2 linked regions of the Rattus norvegicus genome follow. The protein of the gene in region 1 purifies or fractionates together with the protein of each later gene. This does not show direct contact. Links are inferred from orthologs where the notes say so. Each region holds a gene or a part of one and is shown in the gene's direction. Other genes may lie near its edges. The genes, in order: Wdr48 and Ppp1r9b.

What was found.
Region 2: the proteins of Wdr48 (region 1) and Ppp1r9b purify together in Homo sapiens (affinity purification with mass spectrometry; 3 studies listed by BioGRID and IntAct, with this or other methods). This does not show direct contact. The link is inferred for Rattus norvegicus from reciprocal best matches to the Homo sapiens genes WDR48 and PPP1R9B.

What each region holds. Positions count from the first base shown.
Region 1 is NC_086026.1:128,491,543-128,506,822, forward strand, and holds the start of Wdr48 (WD repeat-containing protein 48), read left to right. Parts: upstream 1-8,178; 5' UTR 8,179-8,197; coding exon 8,198-8,245; exon of another isoform or gene 8,246-8,422; intron 8,423-8,470; exon of another isoform or gene 8,471-8,508; coding exon of another isoform or gene 8,509-8,601; intron 8,602-15,280. UniProt on the Homo sapiens protein: Regulator of deubiquitinating complexes, which acts as a strong activator of USP1, USP12 and USP46. Enhances the USP1-mediated deubiquitination of FANCD2; USP1 being almost inactive by itself.
Region 2 is NC_086028.1:80,428,427-80,443,706, forward strand, and holds the start of Ppp1r9b (neurabin-2), read left to right. Parts: upstream 1-6,473; 5' UTR 6,474-6,986; coding exon 6,987-8,357; intron 8,358-11,936; coding exon 11,937-12,069; intron 12,070-13,402; coding exon 13,403-13,523; intron 13,524-15,280. UniProt on the Homo sapiens protein: Seems to act as a scaffold protein in multiple signaling pathways. Modulates excitatory synaptic transmission and dendritic spine morphology. Binds to actin filaments (F-actin) and shows cross-linking activity. Binds along the sides of the F-actin.

The sequences.
Region 1 (15,280 bases):
GTCAGTCCTTTCTGCCATGAGTGTTCCACACATATAGTGGGGGTTGAGAAAGAGGCAAGAGGCAACCTGTAGACGTTGGATCTTTCCCTTTACCTGGTGTGTCTCTTGGGAATCCACCTATTCGTCAGGCCTGGTGTCAAGTGTTCCAACCTGCTGGGCCATCAGGGGCCCCAGATGTGTGGCCTTTTGAAAAGAGGTTCTGGGAATCAAATTCGGATCTTCATGCCTGCAAGGCACTTCCAACTGAGCCATCTCCCCAAATGCTCCTCTCCAGGAGAAGGGGAACAGCTGCAGGTTCCAAATGCTCCTCTCAGTGAGACTTGGCACAGTTGGAGGCTGCCTCTCTCCCTCCCCAGGTACTTCCCACACATTTAGTCTATGGAAAAGCCTCACCAAATGTCTCAGTCAGGGTCTCTATTGCTGTGATGAGTCATCATGAACAAAAAGCATATTGGAGAGGAAAGGGCTTACCTATTTAAACTTCCACAGAGTTGTCCATCATGAAAGAAGTCAGGATAGGAACTCAAACAGGGCAGGAACCTGGAGGCAGGAGCTGATGCAGAGGCCATGGAGGGGTGCTGCTTATTGGCTTGGTTCCCATGGCTTGCTGAGCCTGCTTTCTTAGAGAAATGAGGACCTCCAGCCCACAGATAGCACCACCCACAGTGGGCTGGGCTGGGCCCTCCCACAATGATCTCTAAGAAAATGCCTTAGAATCTGATCTCAAAGACACATTTTCTCAACTGAGTCTCCCTCTTCTCTGATGACTCCATCTTGTATCAAGTTGAAGTAAAACTAGCCAGGATACCAAACCCTTACTCCAAAACTGTGACACACAATCTGTTCCCGGTGAGCTAGTGAAGAAGCACCCAGATTTGGTTAATTTGGATGGGTAGACCCCCAAATGAGGGGTTGGGTCTTGAATGACAGAGAAAGCCAGCTGCAGCGTGCCTGCTGACCCAGTATGTCAGCTGCGCCCTCAGGCTTCCATTGCTGATTTATACACCATGATGGACTGTATCCCTTAAACTGTGAGCCAAAGTGAAGCATTCCAGTCTCTCTTTGTTGCCCTGTCCCAAAACTCTCAAAACTCAGACATCTGCCAGCTTCCTCCTACCAACTGCTGAGATAAAAGGCACACACCACCATGCCCAGGTCCTGTCAGAAGAGTGACTAATCCCACTTCTACCTCAGGTCAAACTGAGGCAGGAGACAGTCCATCCAATACCACTCCCTTCAGAGGGACCGAGGATGCAGGGCAGTAGAACTGGCTGTCTGCATGGATCTTGATGGACCTATCAATCAGTCCTTTAACCTGTCCCCAGGATTTCCTCCAACAAAGTTTCAATAAATACCCTTTCCCACATTAACTGTAAGTACAGCCGGAGGATGAATTGCTAGAGAAGGAACTGCTAAGTTGCTTTCCTGGGCAATTATATTGATTTACCTTCGCACTCCAAGTGTATAAAAAACACTTCAACACGGTGTCTAATGAAACGTTCAGGTCTTTCCCAAGCTGTAGGAGAAAAGTGATGTTCCCTTCAACGTGTATTTTCTGCATTATGAATGAGACTCCGGACATTTCCATAAAATTCCCCCATCTCTTCTCTTCTCCTATCAGATACCTATTTGTACCTTTGCTTGTTTTTTCTATTGTGTTTAACGTGTTCTGTGTTAGCTTGGGACCATTCTTTGTTATTAAAGAAACTGTTTCTTTGTCATGAGGGTATTTTCTCCAAGCCATCCAGGGCAAGCAACCCGAGGCCGCCAAAGCTCAGGTAGCACTGCTCCGTGGGTTCAGGATGTAGCTCCAGATGCTCTGACCTTCCGCTCTTACAGCCCCTCCTCCCTGCACAGGAACCCTGTCCTCACCTTCTCATTCACAGCAGCTCTGCAATGAAGATCTAATTGGTTTGCAGGGGGTGGGGGGGAAGGATGCGTTGGACTGTTGCCATGGAAACTGCCCCTCCCACCACATTTACCATTCAAAGGCTTCTTTGGCATTCATGTACAACAAATTAGCAAAGAGAGATTTCCAGACTTGTGGGCCAGGTTTTGAATGCAGTTTGAAGGTGCTTAGAGGCATAAAGAATGCCTGTGGTTTCTGCTGGGAGATTACTAGGAACAGGATCTATGGAAGGGTGATTTGTTGAGGCATTAGAGTGTCTCAGTCCTGCTTGTAATTTTCCTTCCTTCCTCATCTTCCTGTGATGGCTGTCAATTCACAGAGCATGCTGGTCTCAGACAAAGGTGGAGCAAAAGGCAGGAGCTCCTAAGGACAGGTTCTCCTCTGGACTTCGGTCAAAGCCCAAATCACTGAAGACTTTGCATTAGAAAGTTGGGTGAGGTGGGGAATCAGAAAAGAACTTAGCTCCCATTGGAGGCCAGAAAAGGAGTTAGTGGAAGAAGAGAGGTTCTGATAGAAGTGAAAACCACGACCACCTAAGACCGAATCCAGACTGAGGAGGGGCAGTGCTCTTAGACCATGGGCTCTGGGATTCCCAGCCCTGACGATGCCCTACTCCAGATGGAAGAAAAAGCCACTGACCTGTCACTTTCAAGGGACCACATTTCTGAGACGCTGGGTTCTAAACACTGTTGCTGCGGGATTTCGAGTGCTCCAACTGCGATCCTAAGATTGATGTGTGGCTTATGATTGCCGTAGCCACGGGTCTACAAACTGTGATTGAGCATGAGCTCGCCATCCTTTATTAGGTGGGAGCTCAAAAGTAAAATTAATTAGATTTTTAAAACTTTCTTCTGACTTCTAGATCAGAGGCACGAGTGTGTAGGTCAAAGGATAGCTTGTATGAGTCCCTCCTTTCCTTCCGACATGACTTCCCGTCATCAGGCTTGGTGGCAAGTGCCATCACCTGCTAAGCTATTTTGATGGTCCAGAATTATACTTCACCTGCTTGGACACATTCAAGTATGCGGGGTAAAATTCATACCCAAGACACTTTTTTGTACTAAACTTCAGAAAACCTCAGCCCATTCAAGTCCTGTGTAAAAAACATACTTCCAAAAAAGGAAACATTTGTGGCACAGTTATATTGTTTTCTGTTATATTGGTTACCTGATAAATTATCAAGTTATCCCTCGTGTCCATTGTGACTAGTTTCAAGAGTCTTGGGTATCAAAATTCTGGGGTATTCAAGGGTCTTGTATAAAAGCGTGTGGAATTTCCATGGAACGGATGCACAGCATCTATACATTCTAAACCATCACTAGGTGACTCCTCGAGCATCCTAACAAAATGTAACCGCTTGGTAAAAACTGTTCGCCAGCTGGTGGTGGTACAACGCCTTTAATCCCAGCACATGGGAGGCACATGAGAGTTTGAAGCCAGCCTGGGTGAGTTCCTGGAGAGCCAGGGCTACCCAGAAACGAAACAAACCAGAAACTGGATTAACAAGTAGTTTGGCAGATGAGTAGTCGTCTTTTTTCAAACGCTGTTAATCTGGGGTAGTTTGGATCCACGGCTATGGGACACACTGACCTCACAGACACACAGGGTGTGCTTTACTCTCACACAGCCTGGCACCGTGATTCTATCATTTTCACGGGGAAACATGTTTCTTGTAAAGGTGTCTGGATTGTGACTTTGCATCAGTGGGGAAGTGATTATCGAACGTTCTAAGGGGGGTCACAGCCAGCCAGCGACTTCCCAAATAGGGGCAGTGTAAATGGGTCTCTACTGCCCTCCAGTGGAAGAGCTGGACTGAGCACTTTTAGACCTGAAAATGCTCTGCGCTACTGATGCGCCCACGTAAAGAGGTAGAAGAGGCTGTTTTCTTCCTCAGCGTATTAGAGAGGAACAGCTGCTAAACGCCTCGACTTCTTCGACTTCTTTTCACCTGGAAGAGAAATTTCCAAGAGAGCCTTTACAACAGGTCTCTCTGACAAGATGAAACATCATACAATTTTTGACCTAAACATCTCCAGCATCTTGTTAGACTTTCTGTGTAGGAGAACCAACTGCCCATAGAGATTGCGGTGCTGGGGAACTGCATTTATCAAGTGGGCAAAATAACAATCAGAAAGATGAGATGTATCGCAAGGATGGGGAGATGTCTTGGTGATTAAAAGCTTTTGCTGCTCTTGCAGAGGATCAGGGCTCAGTTCCCAGCACTGATGATAGGCAGCTCGTAACTGCCTGTAACTCCACCTCTAGGAGATCGGGTGTTGTGATAGTGTGAATAAAAATGGCCTCCACAGGCTCATATATTTGAATGCTTAGTCATAGGGAGTGGCAATCTTTAGGAAGGATAGTAGGTGTGGCCTTGCTGGAGGAAGTGTGTCACTGTGAGCGAGCTCTGGGTTTTCCAAAACTCAAGCCAGGCCCAGTGGTTCTCTCTTCCTGCTGCCTGTGTATCTGGATATAAAACTCCCAGCTCCTTCTCCAGCATCATGTCTGCTGGTGTGCCACCACGTTCCTTGCCATGAGGTTAAGGGACCAAACCTCTGAAACTTGAAGCCAGCCCCAATCAGATACTTGCTGTTAGAGTTGCCTTGGTCATAGTGTCTCTTCACAGCAATAGAACACTGAGTAAGACAGGTGGTTTCTTCTGGCATCCTTGGACACACACACACACACACACACACACACGCACACACACACACACATGCATTCATACGTACACACACAAACAAAATAAGTTAAATCAGATTAAAGTGATACCACAAATGTGCCTTTTATGTAGTGTACAGAAGCTGAGCTGGCTGAGGCTTCCACAAATATTGGTCAAAAACCAGATTGTAGTGGGTGTAGATTTTATCACTCAAACTCAGAAACTCTGAAGTCTCCTTTTGGTTCTTTTTTTTTTTTTTTTTTTTTGTTCTTTTTTTCGGAGCTGGGGACCGAACCCAGGGCCTTGCCCTTCCTAGGCAAGCGCTCTACCACTGAGCTAAATCCCCAACCCCCTCCTTTTGGTTCTTATTCCACTACTGAGATTGCTTATACAACCTTGGACTGTATATCACTTTTGCTTTGTTTGGTTTTGTTTTGTTTTTTGATACAGGGTTTCTCTGTATAGATCTGGCTGTCCTGCAACTCACTCTGTAGTCTAGGCTGGCCTCAAACTCAGAGTCCCACCTGCCTCTGCCTCCCGAGTGCTGGGATTAAAGGCCTTGTGCCACCACCTCCCAGCCTGCACATCACTCTCCAGTGGCAGTCACCTTATGGCCTATCATACATCATTGTACCTTACTTACTAGAAGGCTGTGCTATAAGGAAATTATACAGTTTTTTGTTTCTCTGTGAATCTGATAGCCAAGATGAGCTTATACTAAACTATTTGGCTAAATGGGTAGTGAAGTGCTATTCTAAACAAACAAACAAACAAAAAATAACAAAACCCACCAGTGTTAGTGACTTCTCTATTCTGAAAGAAGTTATTTTTGCTTGTGGTTCCAGAGGACTAAGAGCCTGTCGTGGCAGGGATCACGTGATGCATGGTAACAGGTAATGTACAGTCTTTGGCAAGGCCATGCCATTTCCCCTAACAGTGCTCCCAACCAGGACCAAGTATTCAGATGCCTGAGGCTTTGGGGGACACTGCTCATTCAAACCACATCATTTTTTCCTTTTTTTATTTTATGTGTATAGGTATTTTGCCTGCCTATATGTCTGTGAATCACGTATGTGCAGTAGCTGAGCATGTCAGAAGAGGTGTTGGAGCCCCAGGGACTGAAGGTATAGACAGCTGTGAGCTGCCATGAGCATGCTAGGAAGAGGAGCCACTGCTGTTAACCTCTGAGCCATCTCTCCAGCTCCCTAACACGCCATTTTTTAAAATCCAAATTATACAGTAATCGCTAATAGAAATTGGTTACTTTAAACCAAGGTTCTGCATGGTTTTGTGCTTTTCTTTTATTACGTGTTTATTTATTATGAACCTGGGCCTGGAGCATACAAACTAGTTACCACTGAGCTACATCATCAGTCCAATTTCATTTTGAGAGGCAGTAATTTTTATTGTGCATCAAGCATGTTAAGCACCAGATGACCATTTTAATATGGTGCCTTTCGTTTACCCTTCGGCAGTTTCATATGTGTGAACAATATGCCTTGATCGTCTTGATCATAGGCACCCCCAACTCAGCTCTTCTCTTAGCCTAAGGAACCCCTCCTACTCCCTCCAGGAAATCCTACGTCCTACTCCAACTCCTCTAGGAACCCTCGATACATCTTACCCTGCTGTCCTCTCCTTTTCAGTGTTCAGAACTCAGAGTTCATTCAGCGCTGAGGGTTGGAATGTTTACTGGTCTTCTGCAGATAACCACAATGGCAGCGAGTTCCCGGTGCAAAGGCCACATTGTCTAAAAGACAGCATTCCACGGGCGCTGCCCCTCCCCCAGCTCTTACATCCTTTCTACCGTTTTTTTTGGGGGGGGTTGTTGTTTTTTTGTTTGTTTGTTTGTTTTTTGTTTGTTTGTTTGTTTTTAAAGAGTTCCAGGGGCTGGAGAGATGACTCAGTAGTTAAGAGCACTGACTGCTCTTTCAGAGGTCCTGAGTTCAAATCCCAGCAGCCGCATGGTGGCTCACAACCATCTGTAATGAGATCTGGTGCCCTCTTCTGGTGTGTCTGAAGACAGCTGCAGTGTCCTCATATATAATAAATAAATAAATAAATCTAAAAAAAAAAAAGAGTTCCCTGAGCCTTAGGGTGGGGTTGATACAGATGCCTATCTAGGGCTCAGTCTCTTATTCTCTGCATCTTAAGGCTCTGTATCAAATGTTGCTCGATGCAAAACACCTCTGGGCATGGCTGAGGACGGTATGGATTTATGGAAATACACCTAAATTTCTAGAAAGAAGTTTGATAACGTGTATCGAAACAACAGTAATAGGTTCCTCCCTGTGGCCATGATGCCCTGAGCCTTGAGGTTTACAGAGTCAGGTTTATAGTGACAAGCTCCCTCAAGCCCAAAAGTAGTTGGTTGCCCTCATAATCGTCACGCCACTACTACAGCAGTGGGCACATCTTGCCTGGCAGGGCTGTCTGCTGGTGTATCGTGAATACTTACTCTTCCCTAGCAGGCTGCATAGCACCTCCGGCCACTATGAAAGCTGGTCATCAGAGAGAAGTGTTTAGGTCAGTTCCACCTTGATGTCCAGCTACCTAAGTATACAGTGTCTTCAGCCACAGTGTCCTACTACTTAGTTATGGTGGGCAACCAAGAGCAACAGCTATAGCTTGTATTGTTTTAGGGGCAATCATTTTCCATTCATGCCAGTGTATCTATGTTTGAAATTCTGTATTTTAGATTTCTATTTTAACGTGTGTAAGTGTTCTGCCTGCCTGTGTGGGTGTGCTGCCTTCATGCAGTACCTGTGGAGGCCAGAAGGGGGCGTGTGGGCTGGTGTTTTTATAGCAGTTCATGAGTTCCCATGTGGATGCTAAGAACCAAACCCAGGTCCTCTGCAAGTGCTCTGAACTTCTCAGCCACATCTTCAGCCCCTTTGTATTTTTTAATTAGTTTACAAAGGTAGTGGGTTTCCACAGGGGTTATGCTACTTTGGTCATGTTTTTGCCAAACAGATCATTTAAAATATATTGTCTTCTATATATGCTAACATTATCTCACTTAACAGCGTAAGATCCATATTACAGGCACGAGTCTGTAATTCTAGCGCTTGAGAGTCTGGCTAAGATCCTGAGGGGGCTGGAGGACTGGTGAGATGACTCACTGGATAAAGGTGCCTACTGCCAAGCCTAAGTTAGAATCTCAAGGCCCCCATAATAGAAGAAGAGGACTGACTACCAAAAGTTGTTCTCTGACCTCCACAGAGTTTGAGGCCAGCCGAGACTACACAGCGAGACCATGCCTCAAATAACTAAAGAAACAACAATATTTTTATTATTTTAAAAACCTATAAATATGGAGTAAGTTCAGCGGTTAAGCACTGGCTTAAGTGGTTGGAGTATCCCCTCTCTTGAGTGCTTCCCTCTGCATGCAGGAGCTGGGCGGCTCTGAGGTTCAGTCACACTGAGGACGACCAGGACCGGCCCTTCGGCTCCGGCTCCATTAGCGTTACCGCCCGCCCTCTGCTATTTCTCCCCCTGCGTTTCCCCTCGCAACCAGCCCGGAAAGCCTACGCCCAACCTACCTTCTACCCAACCAAAGAATAGGACGGGACATCCGCCGGTGCCGCGACTCTCCCGGAAGTGACGTCGGAGTGTCAACATGCAAGATGGCGGCCCATCACCGGCAGAACACAGCCGGGCGGAGAAAAGTGCAGGTATGGCGGCCCGGCTCCGCGGCCTTGGCGACGCTGCCGTCCGGTCGGGGCTCCCCGCGGGCGGGCGGACGCCTCGGGCCGCGACCGGCGGGGTTCGACGGCCGGAGGATGGCGGGGCGGGGCGCAGCGGCGCGAGGGGTGGGGCCGCGGCGCCAACGGCCTGAGGTGGTGGCGGGCGGACTGGGCGCGCGGGCCTCGCGAGCGGTCGCGGGGAACCGCCGTCCCGGGGAACCGCCGTCGGGCACCGGGCCTGCGGCGGCGCCATGGGCCTACTGCCCGCTCACCTGCCTCTGCTCTCGGCCGCCTTCCTCCGGAACAGCCGCGACCCGGCGGCGGAGGCCGCGCGGCGCCCGCGGGTGGGTGAGGCTGGGAAGCTAGGGGCCTTGCGGGGGCGTGGCGGGGCCGGGTCGCACGTGGGAGCTCTGCGCTGGAGGAAATGACAGTTTCCCTTCCTTTGCAGTAGGCTTTGCCTCCGACCTCCACCGTCCTCACTATGCATTTTCCAGTCTTCCTTTTAAGTCCTAGTCTCCCTAACGTCGGAATCTCCAGTGATGAGTTCGATTACCCACACCATGGGTGCTTTGGGTTTCCCCAAATCACTTTGGTTTGGTGTACATTTTGCTTGCTGCCTTTTGGGATGGGAGTGAAGCTCATTTGGCATTTTTCTTCCAGTCCTGAGCAAGGTTCAAACCTCGTGCACCACATCAAACCAGGCCTCCTTAGTACTGCCTGTACCTCCAGCCCTGGTGTGTGTTTGTGTAGGGAAGCCAGGGAAATCAGAAATCCAAGGTCATCATCCAGTTACCTACCAAGTTTGAGATCAATCAATCTGGGCAACATGAGACACACCACCTCAAGAAAATGCATTCAGTCATTACGTAGACTAAGTGCATAGACTGGCTTCAAAGAGGGGAAGAGGCTGAAAGGGTTTAGCAATCAGTAAACACTCCATAGATTGAGCTCAGTGTTCAGAAGTGAGGGCCAAAGGTGAGTAACCCCAGCATAAGGCTGTAAAGATGTGACATTTTCTGGATAAGTGTCCTCTTTATACTACTGAGCTCTGTTTGTTGGCCCTGTGGACTCACTAGATGGTTGTTTTTTTTTTTTTTTTAAGATTTATTTATTATATGTAAGTACACTGTAGCTGTCTTCAGGCACACCAGAAGACGGCATCAAATCTCATTACAGATGGTTGTGAGCCACCATGTGGTTGCTGGGATTTGAACTCAGGACCTCTGGAGGAGCAGTCAGTGCTCTTAACCGCTGAGCCATCTCTCCAGCCCCTCACTAGATGGTTGTTAAATGTTAAAATTGGACTAGGGAGATGGCACAGTCTGGTAAAAGGCCTGTAGCACAGACATGAGGATCTGAATTTCTGTCCCCACTTAAACATCTCTATCCTCTCACTTGAAAAGAAGTCTGGCATGTTGGTTGGCACTTGGAATCTCAGCTCTAGGGAGGCAGAAGCTGAGTGTCCCTGAAGCTTGATGGCTAGCTAGTCCTGCTGATCAGTAAGCCCCAGGTCCTGTGAAAAAACCAGGTGGAAGGAGAGTGAGCAATGAGGAAACGCAACCAGCTCAACCTCCAGCCTCCACATGCATGTGCACATACGTGTCCTTATGCCCCTGCACGTGTGCACATGCACAAGCACATGCATGTACATGCACACTCAAAAATAATGTTTTAAGGATGAGTGAAGTGACAAGAATCTAAAATTCTTTTAGCTTTCCCTGAGTAGATGCCACTTTTCTTTAAAGGGGCATGATTCCTGATGGCACTGAAATAACCCAGCCTCCAGGCCAGGGGGTATGAACTGAGTCCAACTGAGTTATAACTTTGCCATGTTCCACACATGAGGACGGTGGCTCTTAATAAAGTAAGGATTATCAGTTCTTTCAGTTTGGGGGCAAAGACTTAAAAGACAACGGCTGGCAAGATGACTTGGAGGGGCAAAGTGTTTGCTGCCAAGCCTGAAGACTTGAGTTTGATTCCTGGGACCCACAGAGTCCCTGTGAGAACTAGCTCCAAGTTATCCTTTGGCTCTAGGGGAGTACACCTCAGTGTAGAGCACATGCCTGCCTTTCACAAGGCCCTTGACTTCTGTCCTTAGCATCTTTTTAAAAAAATTTTTAAGACAACACAACAGAGAAAAGTGGAGAAGAAAATGAGTCACAGCAGGTACCAAAACAGAAGTGTTTAAATAGCCAGGTATTGGCCAGGGCTTATGGGGATTATAGCTGGCCAGAGGAGGAAGCTAGAATCTGGTGTTGAGCCCTTTGTTCAACAGCAAGCCAATTGTGATTGGCACGATTTCCTATCAAAAGCCAAAATTAGCCTGCTAAAGAGAACGCTCAGAATTTGTCCACTAGGTACAGTGCAAAGTTAGAAGCCTCCGAGACTGATTGCATCTCCTATTGCACAGAAGGGATGCACGCATGCGGGTTGCAAGAAGAACCCACAAATGGTACCAAACTATAAGTTGTAGTTGTCCTTCACTTTCTCAAGAACAGCAGCGATGTGGAGCGTCCTGTGTCACTTCTCCGCCTGCTCAGTCTTTACTCATTCAGTAGCTTGGTGCTCCTGCAGGAGGTGAGGATCCTGCCCTGTGTGTTTTAAGTTGTTTAAGATCCTCTGACTTCTGCCACTAGATGTAATAGTACCTCCCAAGCTGTAGCAACCAGACCCTCTCCAGATAAAAGTTTCCTTTAAGGGCAGGGTTGAGAGCTGTGCCTGCGCTTTTCCAGTTTGCTACCTGACCTGACTTTCTACAGAGCCATAGCATTTACCACTTTGTATCTTGCTTTGCCAAACTTAGAAGCAGCCCCTTGAGCCCACAGTTCCTTACTATAAAAATGTGTTCTAACCTTTCATGGTAGCATACTCCTTTAATGCCAGCACTCAAGAAGCAAAGGCAGGCCTGATGTACACACTGCGCTCTAGGTCACCTAGGGCTATATATATAGCAAGGCACTTGTCTTTAAAAGAAATTTTCTACAAAGTCACATATATGTCTGTAATCTGTCTCTACTTCTCCAGAGTATTTATGGTAGGAATGTTGCTATTGTGGGAAATAAAATATTAAATACCCATCTTTGGAAATTTCTATGTAGTTGTCAAACAAAATATAATATATTCATGTAGTGGGTTACTTGGCAATAATCCAGCAAGACTAGTTCACAGAAACAAAGTTTAGGTCAGGTTTGTCCTTCAGGTACGTGTTGCTAATCCCTGGTTTAGAAGAAGGCAAACTGTAGTGTATCCTAAGAAGTTAGTGTGTCCTACATGTATGTGATTGTAGACATGGGTATACCACAGCACACATGAGATCAGAATAACCTCTACTGTCCATATTCACTTTGCATCTTGTTTGAGACAGTCATTCACCAGGGCATGAGCTTCCAGGACCTCTGCCATCCCCACCTCCCATCATACTATGTAAGCACTTGGGTTCCAGATGTGTGCTGCTTCAGCTGGTGTTGCATGGTTTCTGTGAATTCTGTCTCCTGCTTGTGCTTAACAGAACAAGTGAAGCTTCTTACCCACAGAGCTGAAATACTGTTTAAGAATCAGCTGACAGGGGGTTGGGGATTTAGCTCAGTGGTAGAGCACTTGCCTAGCAAGCGCCAGGCCCTGGGTTCAGTCCCCAGCTCCGAAAAAAAGAAAAAAAGAAAAAAAAAAAAAGAATCATCTGACAGAGTTACAAACAGAAAGTCATAGCTTATGGATCAGGACAGGAGGGTAGATGTAGGATAATGGTTATATTTGGTTTTCCTGGACTAGATTAGACTAACCTGCCGTCTGGAAGTAGCCTTGTTCAGGAGCTGTATGTCCCTATTAACAGGATATTTTGGTGACAAAATTTGAGTTAGGTTATCTGAGGATAGAATGTGCACATTTGGGAGAGAAAGGAACTTTGTAAGGTATGATGATGTTCTGTCTTTGTAAGGGTTTGTATTGCATGGGTGAACTGATTTGTCATGAGTATCTATGGTGTATTTCACTGTAAATTTTATCTTAAATCAATGTATATAAATAGTAAAGAAACAACTAGACGGTGACACACATGCCTACAAGAGAAGTGTCATTGATGTGTTGCTTGTTTTGAAAGATAAGAGAATAAGATGAATCAAATGAATGAATGGATTCAATAAAGCAAATGTCGACAGTGTAAACTGAAATGTATGTACAATAGGTATGTGCTATCTAATTATATAATTCTTTGAAACAGCAAATAGACTCTAAAGGTTAAAAACTGGTCATAGTCAGCAGTAGAAGACGCAGAAGTGGTGGTACTGGTGGTTGGAGACTAGACTCAGTATGTAGCCCGGTCTGCCTGAGACTCACAGAGACTGACTGGCCTTCCTCTGCCTGCCATGCTGGGCTTGAGGGCCTGTGCCACCTGCTAAGCAGAAGCAAAAGTTCTGTTCTGGGGAGAAGGCCTAGCTTGAGGTGACTGAAAAGGCTTTGGCGACAATCACAAAGCCATCTAGATTGAGAACGTTCCAGTGAGAAGATCTGATGCAAATGTCCTGAGGTGGGAATGAGGCCTGTTTGTGGAGCAGAAAAGAGACTGACTGGGTTTAGGGAAAGAAGTGTAGCCATCAGCTGAGGTGAGAAGACTACACAGGAAACATGGGGGTCATTGGTTTTGGAGGTGCTCTTATTCTGGTGTCTTTTAGATACCCAGATAGAAATGAATTAGTGTTCAGCCTTGAAGAACTGAGTTTGCCCTGTGTTCCCTTTGTGATGTTAGAATGCTTTGGAGTTTCTCTTGGGAGTGTGGGGAACACTTCAAAAAGAGCTTGTAGGACTTTGTTCACTCCTTCCTCCATGTAGGTCGTCAGGTTTGGTACCACGCACCTCTACGCATCAGCCCACCCCCTTCCCTCTTTTGTTTGCCTTGTTTTTTAAAATTCAGTCTCTCTACACACCCTGTCTTAGAGCTCACTGTAGACCAAGCTGGCCTACAAATCCTCCTGCCCCTGTCCCCCAAGAGCTAGGTATAAAGGCATGCACCACCTTGTCTAGTCCTCTCTTTTGTATAAAATACCCAAGGCCATTTCTTTTCTTTTCTTTTTTTTTTTTGGTTCTTTTTTTCGGAGCTGGGGACCGAACCCAGGGCCTTGCGCTTCCTAGGCAAGCGCTCTACCACTGAGCTAAATCCCCAGCCCCCCCAAGGCCATTTCTATATGAAAATTATTTTGTTGTTGTGGTGTGCAGAAGGGGCTGCCATGGGAAAAGTCTGGGAAAGAAAGCCGGCAGCTAGGCTGAAGAGATGGCGCTGCCATCAAGAGCACTGACTGCTCTTCCAGAGGACCTGAGTTCAATTCCCAGCAACCACACGGTGGCTCCCAGCCATCTGTGATGGGATCCCATGCCCTCTTCTGGCAGTTGTTGGGAGCAAGAATGGAAGGAGGTCTGACTGACAGGCAGGCAGTTGTGAAAGGAGGGCTACAGGGCCGCAGCCACAGCAGCCGCCGTGAGTGGGGAAGCATGCTCTTCCCTAGTCTCTACTAAAGAATACCAACCTGGCGACTGGCCGGCCAGAGCCTGTGAGACCCTTGGCAGAGGGTACCCCAGAGCCCAGCCTGGACTCCAGCCTTACACGGGAAAGTAGAGAATGCCTTAGGCAGTTACACGTGCAGCCATTTGTAATGACTGTGATGGAAGCCCTGCCTCGTTCCCTTGAACAGGATGGTACCGAGACGAAGTTTGGTTAGGAAAGCCATTACTTCATATGCAAACCACGAAAGGAATTTTAAGTGATCAGAGAAAGAAATGTCTCTCTCTGATTGTCTGCAGTGACTACCAGTGACCCTGAGGACATTTAGGTTCCAGATGCTGAAGGAGGGTCTGTCTCTCCCACAGAACTGAGTCAGATAGGGCTTGCACTGGGGCTTGTCGGTGGGGGCTACCCTGTTATTTTTCTCCTGTCTGAGTCCCTTTAGTTGGCTCTTTTCAAAAGTGGTTTCGTACTAACAGCCTGGCTTCCTGTTACCTTACAAAGCTCACATTGTGCCTGCCCCTTTTTGCAGGCGGTTGAGTGTAGTCCTAGGAGTTCTCAACTCTGCCTTCCAACTGTCACAATGAAATTATAAGGAAGTAACTGTTCACTTAGATGCTTCTGCCCATGTTTCTCTTGGCTTGCCATTCCTTCCAGTTAACCTCTTGCCCTAGAACACTACCCCAGGAGGACTTCTTTGCTCCACCCACAATCCTTTACATTTAAAACTGTACCTGGCAGCTGGTGGGTACTTAGTAATTGTTTAGAGTATTAAATCCCAGGACTGGAAGATGGCTCAGCAGTTAAGCACATAGTGCTCTTGCAGAAGACTCCACTTGGTTCCTAGGACCCATGTCAGGTGGTTCACAACCACCTGTAACTCCCAGCTTCTGGCAGCCTCTTCTAGCCTCAATAGGCAGTTCATCACATGCACAAATGCATATATATATATATATATATATATATATATATATATATATATATACCCATAATTAAAATAAAAATAAATCACATATTAAGCTCTGGGCTTGTTTGTTCCTGTCTGTGTCTAGACATTTTTTTCTTTTTTAAATAATCACAATGAGTTTATTGGGATGGTTCCCACTTACCTGGATTCAGGGGTTTTGTTTCTTCCCCTCTCCTGAGAAGCCCCTCCTGAAGCCCTGCTTCCTCTTCCACAGGCTGGCAGAAAACGGTGGAGGCCAACACACAAGACTAGCATTTGTTCGTGGCTAACAGCCTGGGGTTTATAGTGTCCTGGACATCTCACAGCAGGAACTGGGGCTCTGCACCAGGCCCTTGGATTTCTCCTGTTCTTGTGAAACAAGAGGCACATTTTGTCCTGCAAGACTTGAATAAAATTTATGTGAAATGTCTTAAGAACCAATCCATATATAAATTCTATTTCTCTCTTTAATGACCACATAGAAATGTCAGTAGAGTACATTTTCTAAATCTTTATTATTATTATTGGAGTGGGGATCACATGCCGTGGTACATGCAGAGGTTAGAGGACAACTTGGTGAGTGGGC
Region 2 (15,280 bases), on another chromosome or scaffold:
AGCAGTAAAACCCTGACTAAGACAGAGACCCACTGTCAAAAATCTTGAGTGGGGAAGGTACAAATGGCATATATAGTATTGCTATTGTTACACAGGCTTTAAAGACTCAGAAAGCACTACTATTTCATGAACACGTAAATGCATGGGAAAGAGGTAAAATTATGGGCTGATGCTTGCCACAGTTTATGTAAACCCAAGCAAAACAAGCCAGCCACGAAAGGACAATTTCTGTACGATGCTTACATAAGGTACCTAGAGGAGTCAAGTTCACACAGATACAAGTGGTTGCCAGGAGCAGCAGTGGGAGTGGCCAGGGAGTGCAGTGCCAGGAGATAGTCTCCACAGGGAAGATGGGAAACATCTTTGCAGTTTGGTTTGGGCACTCTCTCTGTCTGTCTCTCTGTCTTTCTCTGTCTCTCTCTGTCTCTCTGTCTCTGTCTCTCTCTCTGTCTCTCTGTCTGTCTGTCTGTCTCTCTCTCTCTCTCTCACACACACACACACACACACAGACACACACACACACACACACACACACACACACACACATATGCTGGCCTGGAGTTAGGCAGGTAGGCTAGGCTAGCCCTGGCATCACAAGCCTGAGTCACCGCTCTGGGCATGATTTTCTCTTGGATTCTGGGGATGAGATGCAGGTTCTCACCCTTGTACAGCAAGTATTTTTTTTTCTTTTTTTTTTTTTCGGGAGCTGGGGGCCGAACCCAGGGCCTTGCGCTTGCTAGGCAAGCGCTCTACCACTGAGCTAAATCCCCAACCCCATACAGCAAGTATTTTACTGACCAACTCACTTCTCCAGCCTCCCAGATTAGTATCATTTATATTCACAATATTAAAATGGGCCAATACTGGCATTTGTAAATTCCGCTGCAATGCAATTCTCTGTACTTTCCTTATTTTCTATGAAAAAATTTCAAACTAAAAGCTAAAAAGAAAGAAAGAAAAAATTATTACAGAGTAAGAGTTGGGGGAAGGAGGATTGCCCCCAAGGTAACACGATTGCTTATGTTCTACTCTCTGCCCCCAACCCCTCCCGTGGCTAAGAGAAGAGGCTAAGGCAGAAGAGCAGAAGCAGCATTCTGGAGACTGAGCCAGTGCTAGGTCCCACGGGACCCAGCAGAGCCTGGTAGAGCCAGTCAGGCGGGACATGGCCAGCAAAGGCCTATGGGAGAAAGTGACTCTGAAAGTTGTCTCTTCCTTGCACACAGTCCAGAAAGCAGATGAAAAAAACAGTTGGCCATCAAAAAACAAAAAAACAAAAAACAAAAAACAAACAAACAAACCAACCACAGAAATGTGAGTTCTTAGCAGTCGGAGCTCCTTGGATTTGCTGATGACATAACGCATTGCCTAATCTTTCCTGTTCCTTCTTTCTTCCCCTTTGACCTCTGTGCATGTCTGCAGAGCTCCAATGGCTACAACTACAACCTAGCAGAATACATAGTTACAGCTGAGCCAGCTAAATACAAGCTTTCCTTTAAAGCACCTGAGGATTTGGAGGTATCTTTGCTGTGTCCCACCCCCTCCCCCCACCAACACCCCGTACCCCCACCAACACCCCGTCCCCCCCACGCACACCAGACCCATGCCTCCCTAGTCTCCAAGAAACATGTGATCTTTACAAGGTTACACAGGGTGCTAGAGTACAGTGTGAGACTGATGGGAAGAAAGCCAGTAGCCAGAAAGAAAAAAAGAAAGAAGAAGAAGAAGAAAGAAAGAAAAAAAAGAACAGGCAGTAGCTATCCCCCAGCTGTGGAAAGAAGGGACCCACAGTTCCTCTCTCTGCAGGTGCAGTGATCGACTTCAGGAATAAAAGACCCATTGGGAAGTTTAGAAGAAAGGTCACCTTCAAAAATTATCTCGGGGCAGGGGTGTAGTTACGATTTGTAACATTTTCCTAGCATGCTTGAGGCCCTGGGTTCTATCTGGATATCAAGAAACAATTCAGAAGGGTTTGGAGAAGCCATGGGCAGGAATAGAGAAGAATTTCACATAATGGATCTTGAAAGGCAGAGGCCCAATGTCTCATGAAAATAGACTCAGGCGCTGTAGACACCGGAGCTCATTCTCAGCCTCATACCTGCCCACACTTTTGCATGCACACCCAAATCCATGCTCCAATACACGTGCCTTCCATGGCAGTGGCAGCCCACACTCGGAACTCCAGCCTCTGTGCTTTCTGCATTCAGGATCTCTTTAGTGCCCTCGGCAACTCCTTGAGGTTGGTATTTTGTCTCCGGCTTACAAATTATGAAGAGATCTGGCAAAGGCCTTGAGCTTAGAAGTGGCAGCTTGGGGGTGTTCTAACAAATGCGGTCTGATTTCAAAGCCATGTTCCAGCCTGTGCCTCACAGGAAGTAGGAGACACCCTGGGTCACCCATGGTCGGAAGATGTCAGACATTCAGGTTTGAGCATGTTAGGAACTGAGAAACCCAAAATAACTAGCCTAAGGTCACTAAGCAAACGGGAGGAGCTAGGATTCAATTCAGACCTGCAGAATCCTAACCGGGACTCTAAACTGTATGACCCATTGCTCTCTCCTTCCTGTTCCCAGGGAGTTGGAACCCTGTAGGACTCTAACTCCTCACCACTACCCTACCCAGCCACTGCCATGCTGGGTGAGCTCTCCTATTTGGTAATGTGAGTACACAAGCATATCCTCCTTGGATCCCAGAACTCGCTCAAGGCCCCAGCCAACAAAGGAGAGGAACTGGGGTGAACGTTATTGACTAACCATAGAGCAGCCAAAGGGCAGGGTCTAGATCAGCTTCTTCACGGATGACAGTGGCCAGGAAACAAACAAACAAACAAAAACTGCTTTCAGAAGTTGTCTGAAAGGCCCAGGGCTGGGAAGAGCAGCCAGCCTTGGCACCCAGCCCATGCCTGAGCCCAGGGCGCTGAAGGCTGAGACTTATCACACATCAGACTCTCTCCACCCGCCTTCATCACCATCTTTGCTGTTTGTTACACCTGGCACTTAAAGCCAGCAAGCCTCCAGGCATATCATCAAAGAGCACCTTCGGAGAGGGCCCTCATGAGAAACAAGGACGTTCATTCGGGCCAGGAGAGAGGAAGGGTTATCACTGCCTGTTGCCGTTTCTATCACTTAGCCACTGCTGGGGAGGCTTCTCCTCTATACATCGGGCTGCTGGCATCTCCCAGGCCTCAGTTTATCCCCTGGGAGCAGGGAGGAGAAACGTGACTTCTGCAAGGTCAACTAGACAATAAGTGGTATAGCCAAGACCTAAAGCCTGGATCCTGGTTGGGGACTTAGCTCAGCGGTAGAGCACTTGCCTAGCAAGCGCAAGGCCCTGGGTTCGGTCCCCAGCTCTGAAAAAAAAGAAAAAAAAAGGGGGGGGGGAGCCTGGATCCTGGCTCGACTTTGGGAACTGCTCCACTCCCCTCTCTATACAGGACAGAGGAACGGAGGAAACTTCCATCCCAAGACCACCAGGAACATTGGCCATGGTATCAGCGGTTTCCTCCACGTGAGCCCCGGGGAAACCAAAAGTTTCAAATTATCCTGGGATGCTAAACAGGCGAGAATCTGTGAACATTACAGCCTGAGGAATGAAAGTTTACCTCAGACAGGCAGGGGCAGGATGGAGGTGACACCCCGGGGCCCCACCCATCTCTTAGGCAGATTGTATAGTATCTGCCTCCAAGGAAAGAGTGATGGTAACACAGTTACCTCTCACTCCCTTAAAGCCTCTTCAGAAATTCCAGCCTGGGTGTTGCTCAGCCATCTAGGAGCCCATGAAATAATAATCTTTACTCATTAGCGGCAGTCGCCCAAGCTCCAAGCTCACCGTACTTTCTCACATCCCCAAAGTCCTTAAAGGAGTTTTACTCTGACAAATCCGTGCACAAGGGAGAGCTAAGGGTAACCATGAATCCAGTTCCTCCTAAATTTCTGCCAAGGGTGTTGGGAAAGGGGCTAACAGCTGGTTCTCAACCCCTCCTCCCACCTGGCCAGGAGTGAGTACAGACCCCTTGGGCTAGGGCCAGTTAAAAATGACTCACCACAAAGGGTGTGGGAGATTCTGGGCAGAACACCCAGGGCCTTGGGCCCTCCTCCAGTCCACCAGGGAACTCTAAGAACACCCGCTCAGATCCCCAACTGGCAACGGGGTGAGCAGAAGGGCAAGGGCATCGCCCAACCACCACAGTGGGGGCCCGGGATGTAACACAGTTGCTAAAATGCTTGCCTAGCAAGCAGGAAGCCCTGGGTTAGAGCAATTGCTCAAGCCTGTAATTCCAGCACTCAGGAGGTGGCGGCAGTTGAATCAGAAAAGTTCAAGGTCATCCTTGGCTAAATGTTTAGTTCGAAACCAGCACAGGATACTGCAGATCCATTCTCAAAACACAAGCAACCAACCAACTGCCATAGTCGGGTTAGGGTGGAGGGCTCAGGCCCCAGAATTGAATTTGAAGTCCTAAAGCTTGTTCAGGAAGAGGGCTTGGCTTCTAAGATGGGTCAGAAGGTGAGAAGGCACCTGGATGGCTTCTTTACCCTGCACAGATCCCCAAATGCAGAACTGGGGAGGGATATAAGTCTCCTGCCCACTGGGCAAAAATGTAGGGGCATCTGAAAGCCTGAGATCTGTGTTCATCTCCGGCTCCAGATGAGAGCCAAAAATCTTCCCTCTCCTGGCACACTGCACTAGGGAGCCAGTCCAGAGGTTCTTGGCTCCTCCCCATCCCAATCTTCAGGGTTCCCAGGCGGTTTCCCCAAGTCCCATCCCCCATGCAGGGAGCTCTTTCGCACGTGCTATGGGTTAGTGTCCCACAAAACCCACACACGGTGAACGGAAGGGTAAGAGGTTCCCTCCATGAGCACGGCCAGGCCAACCGGAGAGAGGGAGAAAACGGGAAGAGGAGGAAGAGGATGGAGGGGAAGAGGGCGGGGGAGGAGGCAGAGGCCGCAGGAAGGCCTGAGATGCAGGAAGCAGCTGGGGCGAGGGGGGGGAAGCTTTGTGCCTGAGTTGTTTTCTGGGTCCTAGTGTCCACCCTGTTCAGTTCCTGGGAATCTACCGACTGACTGGAGCTACACAACTAGACCTGAATATTGGATGGATCCTCACTGCTAGGTTCCAGATTATTGGAGAAGGATCAAGGGCACAAGGCCTCTTGTTGTGTATGTGAGGAATGAAAAAGCTCTAAAGAAACTGAGTTTTGTTTTGTTTTTTTTGTTGTTGTTGTTGTTGCTGCTTTTTTTTTTTTTCTTTTTTTTCGGAGCTGGGGACCGAACCCAGGGCCTTGCGCTTGCTAGGCAAGCGCTCTACCACTGAGCTAAATCCCCAACCCCGTTAAGAAACTGAGTTTTAAAGATGGAATTTTTGCCCCGGAGATTCCCCTTCACCAACTTTGGGAAGTAGTTAGAAATATGTGCTTTGACCTAGCACCCAACAGTTTTGATGCTGGTAGCCCTAAACACTCTAAGGACCTTTAAGAAGATGATTAAGGGCCCTCCCCACAAAACCCCTTCACTTTGTGGGAGGAGAAGACCAGCTCCCAGACACACACACACACACACACACACACACACACACACACACAAACACACTTGCACACAAGTGACCAGAACCTCTAAATCCGAGACCCAACGTAGAACTCTGAGTAGAGAAACTTTGACCCTAGGCCTCTAGAATCATTCCTTCCAACCTCCTGCAACACCTTCCAAATCTGTTTGAGAGGAAGGTTTGAAGGCCAGGATTCTACACCCTTCCCCAAGTGGGCAGGTTTAGAACAACATCTTAAGACTTCCAAAGGCAAAAAGCAGCTTTGGTTATCTCCTGACATTTGGGTGATGTAGCCCCTACCCCCACTCCATCCCTTTCATTTCTCCTCCCCACAGAGCACCACAAGATTGCTGGGCCAAAGTTTTACGTCCTGAAAGGTGCAAAAAAATGTCTATGGGGAGTTGTTAAAATGAAGAATCCCAGGTCTTGCCCCGGAGATCCCCCTTCACCAACTTTGGGAAGGAGTTAGAAATATGTGCTTTGACCTAGCACCCAACAGTTTTGATGCTGGTAGCCCTGAACACTCTAAGGACCTTTAAGAAAATGATTAAGGGCCCTCCTCAAAAACCCCTTCACTTTGTGGGAGGAGAAGACCAGCTCCCAGACTGCTGTGGCTAGATGGCTCCCCGCCCCCAGGGTTAAATGAGGGGACGCCTATGTGGGTTGTGAAAAGCCGCCGAGTTTGGGGTGGGAGGGTTGAAGAAGAATAGCCAAGGTCCGAGAAGCTGCGGAAGGCTGTCCGCCAACTATGAGTAGGAGAGACCAGGCGACAGGGTGGAAGGGGAGGGCTCACAGGCTCCGGCCCCGGAAATCCGATCCCTTTAGGACCCAGTGGTACCAGTCCCCCAGCGGCGGCGGCGAGAAGGGCAGCCGCTCGGTCTCCGGCAGCCGCGGTTCGGGCAGAGCTAGAGAAAGACCGAGGCTCGGGGCGCGGGGGGGAGGGAGGGAGGGAGGGAGGTGCGGCGGAGCGGCCCGGGTTAGCGGAGCAGCCACGGGCGCGGGGATGCCGGGCATCCCGAGAGCCAAGGCCCCCGGCCGGAGTAGGGGGCGCCTGCGCCGCCAGCGCCGCTGACACCGCCTCGGAGGATGTGAGCCGGTGCCGCGGCCGCTGCTTCGCGGGCTGGGCGCGCGGTCCCAGCGGCTCCAGCCAGCCTCCGCTTCTTTAATTTGGGTGGGGGCGAACGCACCAGGCCGCTAGATCTTTGGAAGGGGGCTGGCTGTCTTTGGCAGCTTGGTTGGGGGAGGCGACCCACACAGGGCGCTCGGAGATTTTTTTTTTTTAAAGCAGGGTTAACTGTTTTTTGGCAGCTTGATTTCTGGGGGACTCTATAGAAGGCCTTTCGGGATTTCTTTCTTTGGGGGGAGGGGGCGGTGGTCCCGACTTGGCCAGCCGCCTGCTGGAGGGGGACAGCGGGGAGCAGGGGGATGCGAACCCGGCTCCCCCAACCATGATGAAGACGGAGCCTCGGGGGCCCGGGGGTCCCCTCCGGAGCGCCTCCCCGCACCGCAGCGCCTACGAAGCGGGCATCCAGGCACTAAAGCCTCCCGATGCTCCCGGGCCTGACGAGGCACCCAAGGCGGCCCACCATAAGAAATATGGCTCCAACGTCCACCGCATCAAAAGTATGTTCCTGCAGATGGGCACCACCACGGGGCCGCCGGGTGAGGCAGGCGGCGCCTCAGGCATGGCCGAAGCCCCACGGGCGTCCGATCGCGGCGTGCGCCTTTCCCTGCCGCGGGCCAGCAGCCTGAACGAGAACGTGGACCACAGTGCCCTGCTCAAGCTGGGCACCAGTGTGTCGGAGCGCGTGAGCCGTTTCGACTCCAAGCCCGCGCCCTCGGCGCAGCCCGCTCCGCCGCCGCACCCGCCGTCCCGGCTGCAGGAGACGCGGAAGCTGTTCGAACGGAGCGTCCCCGCGGCCTCGGGTGGCGACAAGGAGGCCGTGGCGCGGCGGCTGCTGAGGCAGGAGCGCGCCAGCCTGCAGGACCGGAAGCTGGACGTCGTGGTGCGCTTTAACGGCAGCACCGAGGCGCTGGACAAGCTGGATGCTGACGCCGTGTCGCCGACGGTCAGCCAGCTCAGTGCGGTCTTCGAGAAAGCCGACTCGAGGACCGGCCTTCACCGTGCACCCGGTCCCCCTCGGGCCGCGGGGGCGCCCCAGGTCAACTCGAAGCTGGTCACCAAGCGGTCCCGGGTGTTCCAGCCACCGCCGCCGCCTCCCGCCCCGTCGGGGGATGCCGCGACAGAGAAGGATCGTGGCCCCGGAGGGCAGCAGCCCCCACAGCACCGAGTGGCCCCTGCCCGACCTCCGCCAAAGCCGCGGGAGGTACGCAAGATCAAACCGGTGGAGGTTGAGGAAAGTGGGGAGTCTGAGGCTGAGTCGGCTCCCGGGGAAGTGATCCAGGCCGAGGTGACCGTCCATGCAGCCTTGGAGAATGGCAGCACCACAGCCACCACAGCCAGCCCTGCACCCGAGGAACCCAAGGCCGAAGCGGTCCCCGAAGAGGAGGCGTCGTCGTCAGTGGCGACACTAGAGAGGGGGGTGGACAATGGCCGGGCCCCGGACATGGCACCCGAGGAGGTGGATGAATCCAAAAAGGAGGACTTCTCAGAAGCGGACTTGGTAGACGTGAGCGCCTACAGTGGACTCGGGGAGGACTCTGGGGGCAGTGCCCTGGAAGAGGACGATGAAGAAGATGAAGAGGACGGGGAGCCCCCCTACGAGCCGGAATCAGGGTGTGTGGAGATTCCTGGGCTTTCAGAGGAAGAGGACCCAGCCCCGAGCCGGAAGATCCATTTCAGCACCGCACCGATCCAAGTGAGTGGTCCCCTTGGATGCCCCCCCCCCAGCTGCCCTTGCCACGTGCATGTGGTTGCTCCCACCCAGACATCCGTGTTTGGCAGGCTGAGTCAGCCCCTGCCACCCAGCCGGGTTCCCAGAAGTTCCCACAGTGAGGGAGGCGTGGGGGAACTTCCAGCTGTTTGTCAGAGTGGGAAGGTTTTCAGGTCTGTGATTGTGAAGGTGGCCTGCTGCGACCTGCCCTCAGGTTCCTAGCCCCGCCCAGCATCCCTCCCTGCCCTGGGACACCTGCTCTCTCTTCCTCCCCCCCCCCAGACATTCTTTCTTCTAGAAGCTGCCAGAAGCTGGGACTTGGCTATCCTGAAGGGGTGTGGGACGGGACGTGTCTTCGGGATACTGTTCCTATACAAACCCTGCTGTCAGGAAGAGAAAGTGGGGGAGCTTAGGGGCACTTCCTGCTTCTCCATGTGTGAGACTGGCTCTGTCTGGGGTGAGAGAGAGGGGAGCTAGGAACTTCCCAAAACAAAAATACAAGGGAAGGCCGCCCTTTTTCCCCTCCTGTACCCCCACTCCAACTTTGCAGAAGTGAGAGAAGGAAGCAGGGATGAGTTGGTCCACTGCCATGTGACTGGGCCTGAGGGAAAGACGCTGCACCTTAGGGTCTGTGCAGGGCCAGCTCCCCATATCCAAGGTTGCACAGGAAAGGGGCATCTTCTGTAGTCCTTGAAGGAGCAGGCCCTACAGGAAGAGGGTGGTGAGTCTGAAGTTCCCCTAGGGCACCTGGCAGACTTTTCATGCCTATAGCCTTGGGACTCCTCTCTCTTTCTGTATTTTCTATTTACTCTTTTAAAGAGGCTGGGGGCTTGCTTTGTGGGGAAGGGAGTTCAGCTGCTCTCCCCCCCCCCTTCTGCGCTTTTTCTTACACCGCTATTGCTGATTGGTTTGTGAACTGTGCCTGTCAGTGCTTTGAGATCCTCTGAGTAGTGGTGGTAGAGAAAAGATGTCCCCTGGGGAGAATTAAAACCAGGAGACCACTCCCATTTCCCACTGCTCTGTGAGCCCAGCTGGCACATCCAGATTTCATGGTCTTTTCTTCCCTACCCAAGCTCTACTGAGCCTAGCACCTGGCCTGCCCCAGCAGGAGTATAACAGCACCAAGTACTTTCCTTGGCCTAGACCCTGCTCCTCCTTGCCCTCTGAGGCCAAACCCCATGTGTTTGCTTGCAGTTTCCATAGCTACCCCTGGACACCAAAGCTACCCAAGTTTCTCTCACTCTCCACCTCTTCCCTCTCCCCCCTCAGCCCCCCAGGCCAGCAGAGAGAGGTCCAGAAGGTTAAGGGTGGCCAGCCTCTCGCCCCTCCCTGCCCAGGGGTTTGGAAGACTCTTCCATGCCCTGTTCCCTGTGGAGGCAGTGGGATCCAGGAAGGAGTAGAGGCTGTTGGGAAGGTGTTAGAGGTAGCTGCCCCATCCCCGTGGGGTTTTTGAGCAGCCCCATGCCCTCATAGAAAGGGAATGTGGTCTGGGCCTCTGTCTATATCTGACGCCTTACCCTGATTTTTTGGTAAAAAATAGCATATGATTTGGAGCAGTGCTCTGGACTCCCTGGTGACTCCGAAGCAAGCCGGCCACTGGCGTGAGAGCCAAGGCAGTGCAGAGGCTCCACGTGTCTGACTCTTGGCCTTACTGGGGCTTTCGTCCTCCTCAGCCTGGCCAGGGCCGTAGGCTTTTTTTCTCCTCTGCCACCTCCACCCTGATTCTGAAGCCAGGGTTCTCTGCCCGTCCCTGACCCAGTTGTCACCATTATGGAGGTCGGAGTATCTGCTCAGGGCAGAGGATATGATTCCAACCTGTCAGCCGAGGAGATCGCTGAACCCAGGGCCTTCTGATAGGAGGAGTGACTGGTGGTCCTAGGCCTCTGAGCCTGAGGCCTGCCTGGGCTTCCCACAGTGGGCAGGATACAAAAGGTGAACAGGTTGGGGACAGAAGACAAGGCCCAGATCAGGCCAGTGGAGATGGGTTGAGGCTGGAGGATACTGTCTCTGGGCACAGGGTAAAGGCCAGAGGCCTCAGATGAAGAGATGGGACAAGGCCAGTTTGCTGACCCAGACTTATGCCATTCTTTATCCTAAAGCTTGGGATACCTTTGCAATAGGGAACTGAGTCACTTGTGACGGGCTAAGTACAGCCCATCTAGAGTCTGGTGCTGTCCTGCTACTGGGTAAGCAACCTCTGTGACCTTGGGTAATAGATTATATGTGGACTAGAGAGTCTGTTCCTTCAAGGCTGGGACCGCTGGCCAGATGCTGGGGAACAGTCCGTTGGCCACTGGATGAACACGAAAGGACTGATCCGAGTGTCCGATCAGTAGTGTCAAGGGCTTTAGCTGGGTGAGCATGACCACCCCAGCTGTGCTACTGGCTGGTCCTAGAAGTATCCTCTCTCTCGACCTCCTGCCGTGGCAGTGGACCTCTGGGATGAGACTGGAGGTTTGGATGACATTCAGTAAGCCCCAACAAAGGAGTAACCCTGCCTACAGGGTGCCCACGAGCGTGCTCCTAGAGCAGAGGAGGGCCTGGCACAGATCTTGCTGGAGACAGTGTCTTCCTCCAATCTTTCTGGCTGATAAGTGCTGCCTCCACCTCTCCTGCCCCCCACTTGACTTCGAGCGATGCCAACAATGTCACGGCTAGCAGTAAAGCCAAAACAAAAACAAAACCCATCACGGTTCCTCAAACGAGCATCAGGGACCCACAGAGCCCTGTCTCCTTTTCACTGATCCTATGAAGAAGTCAGAGGTAGACACCTAGAAGGAGAGAGATAGCAGAGGGGCACAGGGAACGCTGTACAAGACAGACAGGCTGCCACTGCACATGATCCTTGGTTCCTTTAAGGTCCCAGTCTTGGGGCCTCTGCCTGGCTCTTCTGGTACCTGCAGATAGGGGTATTGTTCTTCAGGGGCATAGTTATGGTGTGTGGGAGGGCCATAGGGGCTCCTCTTTCTCCCCCACTCTTGCTCTCTGAGGCCTACCTGGGGATTAATGGCCTTCCCTTCTCCATGGAAGTAAAAGGAGGTTCTCTGCTTCCTCCCTGGCCCTCTTGGCCTCCACTTCAGCAGCTGGGCGGGGAAGGGTCCCGGTGCCTTTCCCTCTTTGCTCCTTGCCTCTTTCTCCCCTCCCCCTCCCCATCTGGCATCCTCCAGTGTCTTCTCCATCCTTCTCCCCCTCCTCTCTTCCTGTCTTCTGCTCAGCCTGTTCCTCATCTGTGTCTTTGTGTCCACCCTCAGCTGTCTGGCTCTCGGGTCTTGTCTCTTCCTTTCCCCCTGCCCTGGTATTGGAGATTCCCAGACCTTGCAGTCTCCCCTAGAGTGTCCGTCCGGTCCTACCCAGACTAGACCATATGGAACAGATCTTTCACTCTCTGGACCCTGGGCTCTAGAATTAGGAAGCCCTTTGCTGAGAACTGGATTCGTTGTGAGGTCAGTGTCAAGGAAGGGCCTCTGGAAGAAATGGCATGGGGCTTCAGGCAAGTCAGCTGGCCCAAGGGCCTTCTCCTGCCAGTGCATTCTCTGTGGCCCTCTGAGAGCTGCTCCTCCCCAGGTATTCAGCACCTACTCCAATGAGGACTATGACCGACGCAATGAGGATGTGGACCCCATGGCGGCCTCTGCGGAATACGAGCTGGAGAAGCGAGTGGAGAGGTTGGAGCTGTTTCCTGTGGAGTTGGAGAAGGGTGAGAGACCAGGCCAACCTAAGGCATACGCTGGGATCTTCTGTGGTGCTACCCTCTGTCCTGCCACCCCTGCCACGTGTTAGGCTGCTTAGCCCCAGCACCTGCTTGACTTTCTCGGCATCCCATGTCAGCACCAATAGTCACTGGTGTCTCCAATGTATTACTTGGTGTACATCTCCTAAGTACTGTGTAGGTGATCCTGGGCGCTGTTGGAGGCACGGAGACAGATAAAAGCAGGCTCCCGGCCAGACGGCTCCTCTAACTTCAGCCTTACGTGCCGTCATATGTGCCGGGAGGAAAGAGAGACCATGTTTGATAGAGCCTCACCAAGGAAGTACGCTCTAAAGTGAGCTCTTCAGAGCTTAGCTTTAAAGAGAAGCCCTGTGGAAAGTGGGGTTGAACAGAGAGGTACACTCAGCGTAGGATGAGCACGTGGCCGGGGTGGCATGGGCCATGGCGAGAGCATGGCCATTTCTGAGAGGGATTGGGAGCTGTGGTAGGGACGGGGAAAGCTATTCTAGAAAGTTCACAGTGTCCAGGCAGTGGTGGCACATGCCTCTGGGAGGCAGAGGCAGGCAGATGGATTTCTTGAGTTCTAGGTCAAACTGGTCCTACAGAGTGAGTTCCAGAGCAGCCAAGGCTATATAGAAAAACCCTGTCTTGGGGGTGGGTAGAGAAAGAAAAGCAAAAGAAGAAAGGGAAAAAAGAAAAGAAAGATCACTGTGGCATGGGTCCAGGGAGGGTCACAGTGAATGACGGTCTCCCATAGCAGGTCAGCAGTTGCTTAGTGAAAGTGGATGCACCAGGCAGGAACAAGCCTGGTGGTCACTTGACTTAGCGGAGCCCGGAGCTAAGAGAGAGGAATCTGAATGCTCCCAGGCCTGGCATCTAGTGCCTGTCCTCAGGGAGTGTTCGTGGGGACAATCCTATGTATGAATGCTGGAAGTCCATGGGACAGGCAGTGCAGGTGCAGCTAGGTACTGGGTATCCATGTTTGGTCAGCGGAGTTCTGGGCTTAGAGGAGAATAATTGAAGAGACCAAAAGGCTCAGGGCTAAGTCCTGGCTCAGTCCCCATCCCAGCCACACAGTCTTATCTGTATGCACAAAGGCCTGCCACACCCCAGCTACCCTCACACACCCTGCTGCCTGTCAGCTCGTTGGATAGGGCATAGGGCAGGAAGTAACCCATGAGTTAGCAAAAGGGAGGTGGGTCTAACCATAGTTCTTTTCCATCGTGAGATGTCTCCTATGCCTGGGGACTGCTTATACAAAGGAGTGGGTATAGTGTAAAGAGTCCCTGCCAGCCATGGCTTCTCCCCTTCTGTGTCACAGACTCTGAGGGCCTGGGCATCAGCATCATTGGCATGGGAGCCGGAGCCGACATGGGCCTGGAGAAGCTGGGCATCTTCGTCAAGACTGTGACTGAGGGTGGTGCAGCCCATCGGGATGGCAGGTACTACCCTCCTTCCATTCCCTTCCCCCTCTTTCCAATTCCTTCCCAAGTCTGTTTTAGAAGTCATCATCTGGGGTCGGAGGGCAGCAGCCTCTGGGAGGCCTGTGTGTGATTTTGTGTGTGTGTGTGTGTGTGTGTGTGTGTGTGTGTGTGTGTGTGTGTGTGTGTGTGTGTGTGTGTATGTGTGTGTCTTTGGATGTTCACAGAGCACCGCTGTGCAGGTGCTGTGCCAGGCTTTGGGGTGACAGCCGGGAACAGATGGAAGCCCTCCCCAGGGCCCCACACGTTCTGTGGGGGAGGGGTGTGAAGCTCAGCTGTGCCTAGCACACCTAGCACGGTGTGTACTGGCTTAGGGTGTGTGTTGGCCCTAGTAGGAAGAACATGGACTGCGTGTCTGGAATAAGGCTTTTTCCACATTTCTTTCCCTTAACAAATACGAGGGCCTGACTCTCGCTGGGTTGGTGCCAGGCCCTGGCAGTCAGTGTAGGGGGCCTGACCCTCGGAAAACAAGCAGTGGAGTAAAGTAGGCAGATACCAGACAGAACAAACAAACTGGATGAATGGGGAGGAATATATGTAGGCCCAAAGTAGGAGGGCCTAGCCAGGAGTGGTGATGCACGGCTTTAATACCAGCACTTCGGAAGCAGAGGCAGGCGAATTTCTGTGAATTCGAGACCAGCCTGGTCTACAAAGAGAGTTCCAGGACAGCCAGGGCTGTTACACAGAGAAACCCTATCTCAAAAAACAAACAAACAGACAAACCAAAACAAAGAAACAAGGAAGCAGGAGGTCCTGGCCTCTCTAGGGTGGGCTTCTTGGAGGAAGTGATACTGAAAAGAGCTAAAGACCAGGCAGGAACTAGCAAGGCCAAATGTATATAAAAGGTTCCTTGTAGCCAAGTGTAGTGGCTTAAACCTTTAATCCCAGCATTGGGGAGGCAGAGGTAGGCAGATCTCTGAGCTTGAGGACAGCGTGGTCTACATAATGAATGCCCAGATAGCCAGGACTACATAATGAGATCCTGTTTTGGAAAAAACAAAACAAAACAAAATAAATGGATAAATAAAGATAAAAGGTTCCTTGTGAACACAGGAATGGAATGCTAGCACTTCAACTGAGCCCTATGTCCCCAGCCTGAATGGAAGGGGTTCCAAGTAGAAACCACTGGGGCAGGAGTGTAGATAGCCAGGGATCCAGGAACAGATAGGAACAGATAGTTGCAGCCGTGTTCTGGAGCCGAGGTTGCATAGGTGTGCACCTGTGTGGAACATCTCTGGCCAGAGGCCTGGGGTTCCGTAAGTCAGAAGGCTCTCGAAGGGCACCAGAGCTCTGGCACCCAGGCTCCTCCTCTCTGCCAGATTTTCTGTTGTGTGTGTTGCTAGGGAGGAAGTAGGAACTGCTGTAAGGCTTTCCCTCAGGAAAGCTGTGAAGGTTTGACACCCACACCCCATCCACATGACAGGGGTGAGTGGTGAGGGCTGGGTTACTATAGGCTCATGTTAGAGGCATAGGTGCCCAGTTCAGAGGGCTTTTGCCTGCAGTGGCGTAGGTGGCATGAAAGCAGTGGGAACAGAAAGGATGGCACCCTTCCTGGCACTTCTCTCCCTCTCCAGAGCTTGGCCACTGTCGCCTGTTTGCTAGAAAAGCAGGTATGTGAGCATCATGGGCTAGCGCCCACATGAGAATGTGGCCCGTAAGGGAGAAAAATGTCTCGGGCATTCTCTCTGTTTCCACTTGAAGCCCTGAGAAGCTCAAAA